2 linked regions of the Drosophila melanogaster genome follow. The main gene of each other region encodes a partner of the protein of the gene in region 2 in a complex. Each region holds a gene or a part of one and is shown on either strand. Other genes may lie near its edges.

Region 1 (4,080 bases), on a different chromosome or scaffold from region 2:
CACACACAGAAAAAAATTTGCTTTCCTTTTTCTGGAAGTGAAGTGTTCTTTTCGTGGGTCTCTCGTCTAGCAGCTGCGCGGCAACTGAATGGCGCCAATCGCATTTTCTGCGGGAAGGGGCGGCACGAGCGCAAAGAACACCCGCTAATTCCCACGCAACGGCGTTTTCCGCTCTCCCCCAGAAAGGTCACACTTAAGGTGGGCTGCCTGCTCTGGTACTTGAAAAAAAACGCCCACGCAACTTATTTAATTGAAATAGATGTTATATGCTTTGGATGCATTTTTGCTCTACTAAGATCCATATAAATTGACATTTGCTCGAGTGCAGACTAGTTTTCAATTCCAATTTTAAAAAAGTCTATTAGCTATCCCAGTCGACACCCCCCATTTCCATGCATTTTAAACCGCTCCCTGACATTGTCTGTTTGCTATAGAGTATAAATACTGTCGTGTGAGGGAAATATCTTTTTATTGCGGGAAAATCAAACACCGACTTTTGTAAAAAATAATCATATTTCAACTGAAGTTTTATAATAAAGCTTTGCCGAAAAAGGCCACAGATCAATAAAAAGTTCGATATTCACGAAGACGTTTATCATCATAACTTTGTTAAAACTTGTCGTACAGTTTACAATTTAGTAGTTTTAATTACTTAGTTTTAGTAGTTTTTTTACTTTTAGTAGCGAATTCGCAGTGCTAGGATTCCTACCACTTTTTGAAGGATTTAGGGAAATTAATTTTTGGGTCAATTTTTTTTTTGTAAGGGGTAACATCATCAAAATTTGCAAAAATTGGCCAAAAAATAGAATTCCTATTTTTTGATACAGTTCGACAGGGAATTTAAATACGAGCTCGACGAGGTATTGCATTCCGTATTCAGACAATTATTTTTAAAGTTATGGCAAAAAAAAACTGATTCTTTTATGACGGAAAATCGAAAAAAATTATTTTTGCAAAAATTACAAAATTATAGATGGGCATTTTAATCATAACTTGACTAAAAGTGATCACAAAGCGAAAAGAATAACTGTTTTGAGCAGCTAATTGCGAAGGCTAACCATCCCAATCACTTTTTGACCGATTTGGAAAAACTAATTTTTTGGTAATTTTTCGCATTTTTTGTAAGGGGTAACATCATCAAAATTTGCGAAAAATGGTCAAAAAATAGAATTTCCATTTGTGGATACAGTTTGATAGGGAATTTAAATACGAGCTCAACGAGATATGGAACTCCATATTTGGACAAATATTTTTAAAGTTGTGGCCAAAAAACTGATTCATTTTTGAACGAAATTTGGAAAAACAGATCTTGGCAAATATTAAATAAAATTTGTTTATGGTCATATGGTCTTGGTCACCTTTCTCGCTGTTATGGAAAAATCAGATGAAGGGAGATTTATATTAAAAGAAAACTCACTTGGGCATCCTGCATATCAGGCATGTTCAAGGTTTCCGGAGTCGCCGATTGTTGCTGCTCCTTGAGATTGCCAGTCACGTTATCCTTTTTGGAACGCATTCGGAATGAACTTGGAGTCCCAATGGACTTCGAGTCCCACATAGAATTTTTAGCCAAATAACGTCGTTGAAAGGCAAAATGATGGCCCAAAGAGCCATTTCCGAAACGGCGTACGAACATTACTACTTTTAGCTGTAAATATATACGATATTTCGAAGTTTCTAGTTCGCTTTTTCTCTTGTTTTTGGGAATGTGAAAGCTAGTGATGTAGGATACAAAAATTTATTTTGACAGGAAAGCGATTGCGATAAATATAGGGATGGTATCAAACAGTTCGGAATACTGTATATACTGTAATACCGTATAAACGTTTGCACGTTCTACTGTGACTTGTTGTTGTGATTGTCTTTCGATAATAATATAATATAAATCAAATAAATTGACTCAACTTTTCACGTTAGAAAATATTTTTCAACTTCGTTTGCAGTATTCGCCACTTTTTGGTATATTTTCGTCACTACTTGGTATTTTACCCTGCCCCAAGTCAGGCCACACTGCCTTGGTGTTATGCAAAAAACGTCATTTTTTTGACAATTCAACAGATTTTTTCCCTTTATTCGAGCGTAAGTCCCAGTTTACCGGCCAAACAGCCGACTGATATATACTTTGTACCACAGGAGGAGTCACCATGGCGACGGCAGTGCCGCATTGTCCCCCGAAACAGGACCTTCCACCGCCGGGCGGCTACAAGAAGATACCCTTTGCCCGCGTGCCACCGAAGAGCTACTTCACAGGTGAGCTCCTCCAAATCCCATTGATCTAACCATATATGTGCTGGTAACTATATCAATCCCTCGGCAGGCTTCACCACCATCGGCACCTATGTGGTTGTGACAGCCGTTGGCCTGGGCATCTACTACTTGACCGCCAAGAAGGTGAAGCGCGACGAGATCGAGATGCGTTCCGCCCAGAATGTCATCTTTCCCATTTTGGTCGCCGAGCGGGATCGCGAATTCCTGCGCCAGTTGCGACGCAATCGGGACGAGGAGGCCGAGCTGATGAAGAACGTGCCCGGCTGGGAGGTGGGCACCTGGTATGGTGAGCCCGTTTTCAAGACCCTGCCCGAGGATACCCTGGTCACGCCCATTTTCAAGGAGTTCTACGCCCACTCCGACTGGAAGTCGTACGCCAAGCGTGCCCACTTGAAGCTCTGGTCCTAAATCGGCCTAGTTAATGGATTAGTTAATGCCTAAGCACGCACCTTTTTGTTTGTAGATCATCCGCCTAAGCGCCAAAAAAAGAAAGTATCGACCAATTATAATGTCAGATCAGATTGGCTGAAATACCGATTCTCTTTGTGTGTGTTTAATCCAAATCCTGTGCTGGACCACCCGAGGTAGCCAGAGATTTTTACCAAACCGGGGGCGTTGCCGTCCAGCTGCAATATAGCCCACGGGCAGTGCTCAAAAATGGCCAAATTAGATGGATTTGGTGGCACCAACAGCGGGGAATCCCAGTTGGCTGTGTCACCAAATTAAAATCTAATTGAAAATCTGCTGCTTAGTAAAAATAATAAATTCACAACATAAAACACTACGAAATGCTTATGATTCAATAGGGATTATTAAAATAGCAATGAAGAAATCTTGAGCCATTGAAAAACATTCTTGATTTATTTTATTTTTATTTTTTATTGAATTCAACATCGATTTGACGCTCGTTTTGTGTGTCAGTATTTGGAGTTTCGGGTTATTACACAATAGCGGGTGATCGTGAGCTCTAACATTAAGTAGTCGTAATTATAAGTAAGTAATATATATCTATACATGGGCCATGATCGACATCCGTCGACATGCTTTTATCTTCAATTGTAAACCGCAGAGTTGGCCTGAAATCATATAAAAAAAAAAACAACTGTGTGTGTGGATTTGTGTACAACTAGGTAAAAGATAAACCCTTTCCTTTGGAATCGCTTGACGACAGTGGCCCCCGTTGTGGCTCCCAAAAAATACAATATGGGTGTGGACTTATGTTTGCGTGTAGATAAACAGCAGCTGCTCCTTTCTCCTGGCCCGGGCGGCTAGTGTCCGAGTTTTGCATGGGCGAATCATTAGAAACTAGCTCGTGCTCCAGCTAATCCTACTGCTCCTAATCTACGTACTCCTGCTTGATAACAACGTAACGCACTGGCGGCGGCGATTTCTGCTCATCACGCTCCGGCTCCAGCTGCTGCCGACGCCGCCAGTGCTCATCACGTTGTGGCCGCCTCTACTTCATGTCCCTTCGACGCTTGATGCTGCCATCGCAGGTGGGCAGATGGCGCTGTAGGAAGCCCTCGAAAACGAACTTGCGGCCGCAACGTACGCAGCTGAACTCGCGCTTCTCCTCCACCTGCTGCTTGTGCTGCCGCAGTGCCTCCGCATTAGAGTACTTATCGCGGCAGGCGTCGCAGGCATAGCGTCTCTTCACCTGGCCAACATCGAAGACGACGGTGAAGTTCTGCGAGCAGAAGGCGCACTGGAACTCCTTGACGACCACCTTCTTGCCGCCGTGCTGGGCGGCCAGGGCCACCGCTTCGGCCTCGAGCTTGTCCTGGTGCTTGTGCGACTCCATGTGGGCGGTAA
Region 2 (3,804 bases):
AACCATCATGCAGAATTGTGCTTTTCAAGGATACGCGGATGGGAAATGGGCCGAATGGGCCGAATGGGAGCAGCACCCATTTAAGTTGTCATTTCCGTAACATATTCCAATGGCCCCGCACAATGGGCGAGTCCATATTTGAATTTGCCGTTTAACAATAGCCCCAATGGCTTCCCTTCCGGTGAGTTCCCCCACTTTGCCCCATTTCCGCTGGGTTCCTTATTATGCGGATGACAATGCGTATTTTATGCCGCCTGTCGGCATTGATTATAAAGCTGAGTGCTGTTCGGTAACCTTTTATTTGTGCAGCAGTGTGGGATGAGGAAATCATCATCATTCCACATGACCCATTCAGGGGCTCTGTAAGCGCAATGTCTAATTGGACAGACCCTTGGATGAAGATGCTGAAGCGCTCTATGAACTGTAGCCCAACAGCTCTCAATATGAGTTCTACCAGGGGAACGTTTTATTGGAACAACAAGACATTACCTCACCACTCATTTTATGGAAAAAACCGCCGTTTTATAAGTTAAGATTAACATAACATCAAAGTCACTCGGTCACTCTTCAACCTTCGGATGGAAGCCGGTTGCATCTGCGGTGTAAGTCACGCGAATTTGCTTGCCATCTTCGCCGGGAAGGAAGTATTCGCCCTGGATGCCGTTCACATTGCCTTGAGCTTTCACTTGGATCCCATTGCTGACCGTGATCTCATGCTGGAACTGCCCAGCTCCATCCAGGTTCTGGCGGTTCTCCGACTTCAGAAGTTGCGCCTGCAGATCCTCCTCACTGCAGCTGGCCAAAACGACGAAAAGGGCAAAGATAAGGCTCTGAAATTGAGAGGTGGCTGATTATCCAATAGTCTGTTTGAAATCCGATTAAACTCACATATTTCAGCATTTTGGAGCAGCTTCTTGAAATGAAACAATGCCCGTCGGCCTTTTATACTATACTCCGAAGCTGCCTAGCCCACTAAACGGGTTTCAATCGCATCTGCTAATGAAATGACTGAGATTAACCAGACAGCCATGAATATGAAATTTGCGGCTACTCAATCGAGTCTGCTTCTGGCACCAGAAGCAGGCCAGCCTCCCCCAACTAATTGATTGCGATTTTGTTAACCCATTTTGCTACTAAAAGAACATTTAATCATCAACAATGAATTTGAAAACTATGCGCCCGCGGCCTTCGGAAGGATTTCTTGTGCAGGCTTGGAATCCCAGTCTCTATACCTAATTTCTGGATTGCTCAGAATCTTGGCCACACCCTTCAGAAAGCTTGGCTTACTGATAGTGGTTTTTCTCACAGAATCGTTGCTTTTCTTTTCCAAGGCATGCGGTATAAGTGAGGAAAAATTTAGAGATGCCTCGTTAGTAAGTGTCCCATCTGAGGATTCAATTGGCAAGAGAGACATCCCCTTATTTCGCTTGTTGTTGAACTTCTCGAGATATTTCTTGGCACCCAAACGGGCGGATGTCTTTAAAGCATTCATATCCCAGGACACTCCCAGCTTGGATTTGATCTCCTCGGAGGCAGTCTTGTCGTTCGAAGAGAACAGCGTTTGGAACATCTTCTTCAGCTCGAGGTCCTTGGGATCTTGTAGCGATCGGACTGCCCGCGGATCAATCTGCCCAATGGAATTGTCTTGGCTTTTGGTTTCCGCCTCCCGCTTGGAATCCTTGTTCAGCTCAACTAAGTCGTTTAACGACAATTTGGGGTCCAAGTTCCCTTGCAGCTGCTGGAAATCCATTTCGGGCGCATCCTTCGGCAGGTAGCCGCGGCTTTTCAGGTAAACTAGCGGCGACTGCCAGTTGTCGATGAGGTTCTTAACAATGGTGTCAACCGAATTCTCATACTTAACTACTTTTAAATTGCGATCAGCTGCAGCACTATAAAATAGACAGATGTATAAGATTAAAGAAATCATTTTAATTTAAATTGTGAGCCTGTTATCGATGACTTTGTGAAACGGCTACACTATCGATATAAATTGTTATTGACAGCTACGTCTCAGCAGCCCTGGATCTAAATCAGCTGTTGTGTTGTAAGCAAACGTAAAATTAACAAAATCCTACAATTATTTTGTTTTTTATTGAATTTCATAGCCTTTCAGGTTTTTGGTTGATCGCACAGGACTGCAACGCTATTATGGTCATCACCAACAACACAACACTGCCCGAGGAGTCGGAGCTGAACGTCCAGGAGCTAAATCTATCGTCGGCGGCCTTACGGGCAGGCGCCTTCCATTTGGGCAAGCAATGCGAGCAGGCCAATAATGTTAGTACATCCAGATTGCAGGGGAATCCTCCTGATAGTAATGCTTAGGTGAAAAGCGCCTTAAAGTGAAGCTGGGAGCCGCTGCCTCTTTAAAATCCGAGCGGCTTAGTTATATAACCTAACCTCAAAAAGCACCTTCCCCGTTTGTTTACCTTTTCCTTCGTGTAATTTCAGGAGTTTATGCTGTGCCGGCAGGAGCTGGATGACCCGCGAGCCTGTTTGGCGGAGGGCAAAGCCGTGACCAGCTGCGCCCTGGACTTCTTCCGCAAGGTGAAGAAGACCTGCCATGAGGAGTTCACGCAGTACGCCACCTGCCTGGATAAGAGCAGCGGTACTATGGCTTTTTCACAGTAAGCACTCCGTAAATGTTGAATATTCCAATCATGCTATACCAATGTCCATCCATACTTTAGTTGCCGCAAGACCCAGGGAGTGTTCGACAAGTGTATCAAAGATAACTTCGACTGGGATCGTCCCTCCTATGGATACTTCTCGAGGGCCAAGGTAATTTCTCGGCATGCTTTATTTAGACCTCTCCTAATCACTTCTGTTTTCAGGTCATCCAATCAGCTCGGGAAGCACCCAAGAAGGAGGAGAAGGTCTCCTATCCCGATGCCACCCCCGGTTTGCCCGAGGATTACCCCAAGCCGCCAGCAAAGTACGGTTCCCGCTTCCACTGGCTGGAGTAGACAGCTGCCAGCGCCTAGTGAAATTTGAAAGCGTTCATCTTAATATAAACTCTTGTTTCCATTAGTACTCGATATATTTATTTCATCGTATCTTTTTCCTCGACACAGTTTGCTTGATTTTGGCCATAATATCCAGGTACTGGTTGTTCAGGCAGCATCCGCAGTAGCTAACAGGGAAGCAGGCGCTGCCCTCGATACGGCGGAAAAGTGGCGTGTTCTGATAGAAGACCCACGAGATGTTTTCTTCGCCCAGCACCAGCATGATCTTGTCGAAGCGGACGCCCTGCACCTGAAACAGCTCCATGTCGCCGGTGATGATGCGCCACTCTGCGTAGCGTATGTTAGCATCTGGGGGCAGCTTGGAGCGCTCCCTCATCATCACATGCTCGAACCAATCGCGCACTTGGATAATCGATCCGGTGGGAGCGTGCTTTCTGATCTGGTAGCTGATGCGCGGGTACAGAGGATTTCTGCGACAGGAATGAATGAGTTTCTGGCGATCTCTTGGGTATTTATATTAATTGCTTACATGTAAGGAACAAAGGCCAGGCGCACCAGCACAAATTCAACTTTCTCTCGAGGAGCCATCTTGAAGATAATTTTATTTTTATGCGGACGACGCACTTCACAGGCACTGCTATGCAATACTAATGAACTTGGTCCACTGCTCAGACTATATATGCATAATACGCGACTTGCAGGCAGGTAGAATCATTGCTAAAGCAGATGTTCCGTTTCTAATCCCAAGAAAAAGTCCCAGTTTTCCCGTTAGTTACCTGTATCGATTTTCTCATTTACAGTTTTATTGCTAAAAAGATTTTTCTTATCCTAGAAGAGG

What was found.
Region 1: the proteins of ND-19 (region 2) and ND-B16.6 are in contact, whole or in part, in a cryo-EM structure (PDB 8ESZ), measured with the Drosophila melanogaster proteins. Residues at the interface, in NP_001163296.1 of Drosophila melanogaster: Val2, Ile3, Thr4, Asn5, Asn6, Thr7, Thr8, Leu9, Pro10, Glu11, Glu12, Leu15, Asn16, Val17, Gln18, Glu19, Leu20, Leu27, Arg28, Ala31, Phe32, Leu34, Gly35, Asn42, Phe45, Met46, Arg49, Asp54, Pro55, Arg56; in NP_001284943.1 of Drosophila melanogaster: Arg63, Asp64, Ile66, Glu67, Met68, Ser70, Ala71, Asn73, Val74, Ile75, Phe76, Pro77, Ile78, Val80, Ala81, Glu82, Arg83, Asp84, Arg85, Phe87, Leu88, Arg89, Leu91, Arg92, Arg93, Arg95, Val110, Gly111, Val118, Glu124.

What each region holds. Positions count from the first base shown.
Region 1 is NC_004354.4:6,348,292-6,352,371, reverse strand, and holds ND-B16.6 (NADH dehydrogenase (ubiquinone) B16.6 subunit), read left to right. Parts: upstream 1-1,970; 5' UTR 1,971-2,079; intron 2,080-2,133; 5' UTR 2,134-2,144; coding exon 2,145-2,250; intron 2,251-2,317; coding exon 2,318-2,676; 3' UTR 2,677-3,356; downstream 3,357-4,080. Other genes in the region: kdn (knockdown), read right to left, coding at 1,418-1,636; CG3847 (uncharacterized protein), read right to left, coding at 3,725-4,080.
Region 2 is NT_033778.4:24,662,403-24,666,206, forward strand, and holds ND-19 (NADH dehydrogenase (ubiquinone) 19 kDa subunit), read left to right. Parts: upstream 1-1,995; 5' UTR 1,996-2,044; exon of another isoform or gene 2,045-2,054; intron 2,055-2,105; exon of another isoform or gene 2,106-2,113; 5' UTR 2,114-2,148; coding exon 2,149-2,277; intron 2,278-2,451; coding exon 2,452-2,627; intron 2,628-2,690; coding exon 2,691-2,781; intron 2,782-2,834; coding exon 2,835-2,966; 3' UTR 2,967-3,037; downstream 3,038-3,804. Other genes in the region: Cpr60D (cuticular protein 60D), read right to left, coding at 561-830, 889-900; CG30161 (uncharacterized protein), read right to left, coding at 1,172-1,927; CG34214 (uncharacterized protein), read right to left, coding at 3,049-3,436, 3,496-3,554.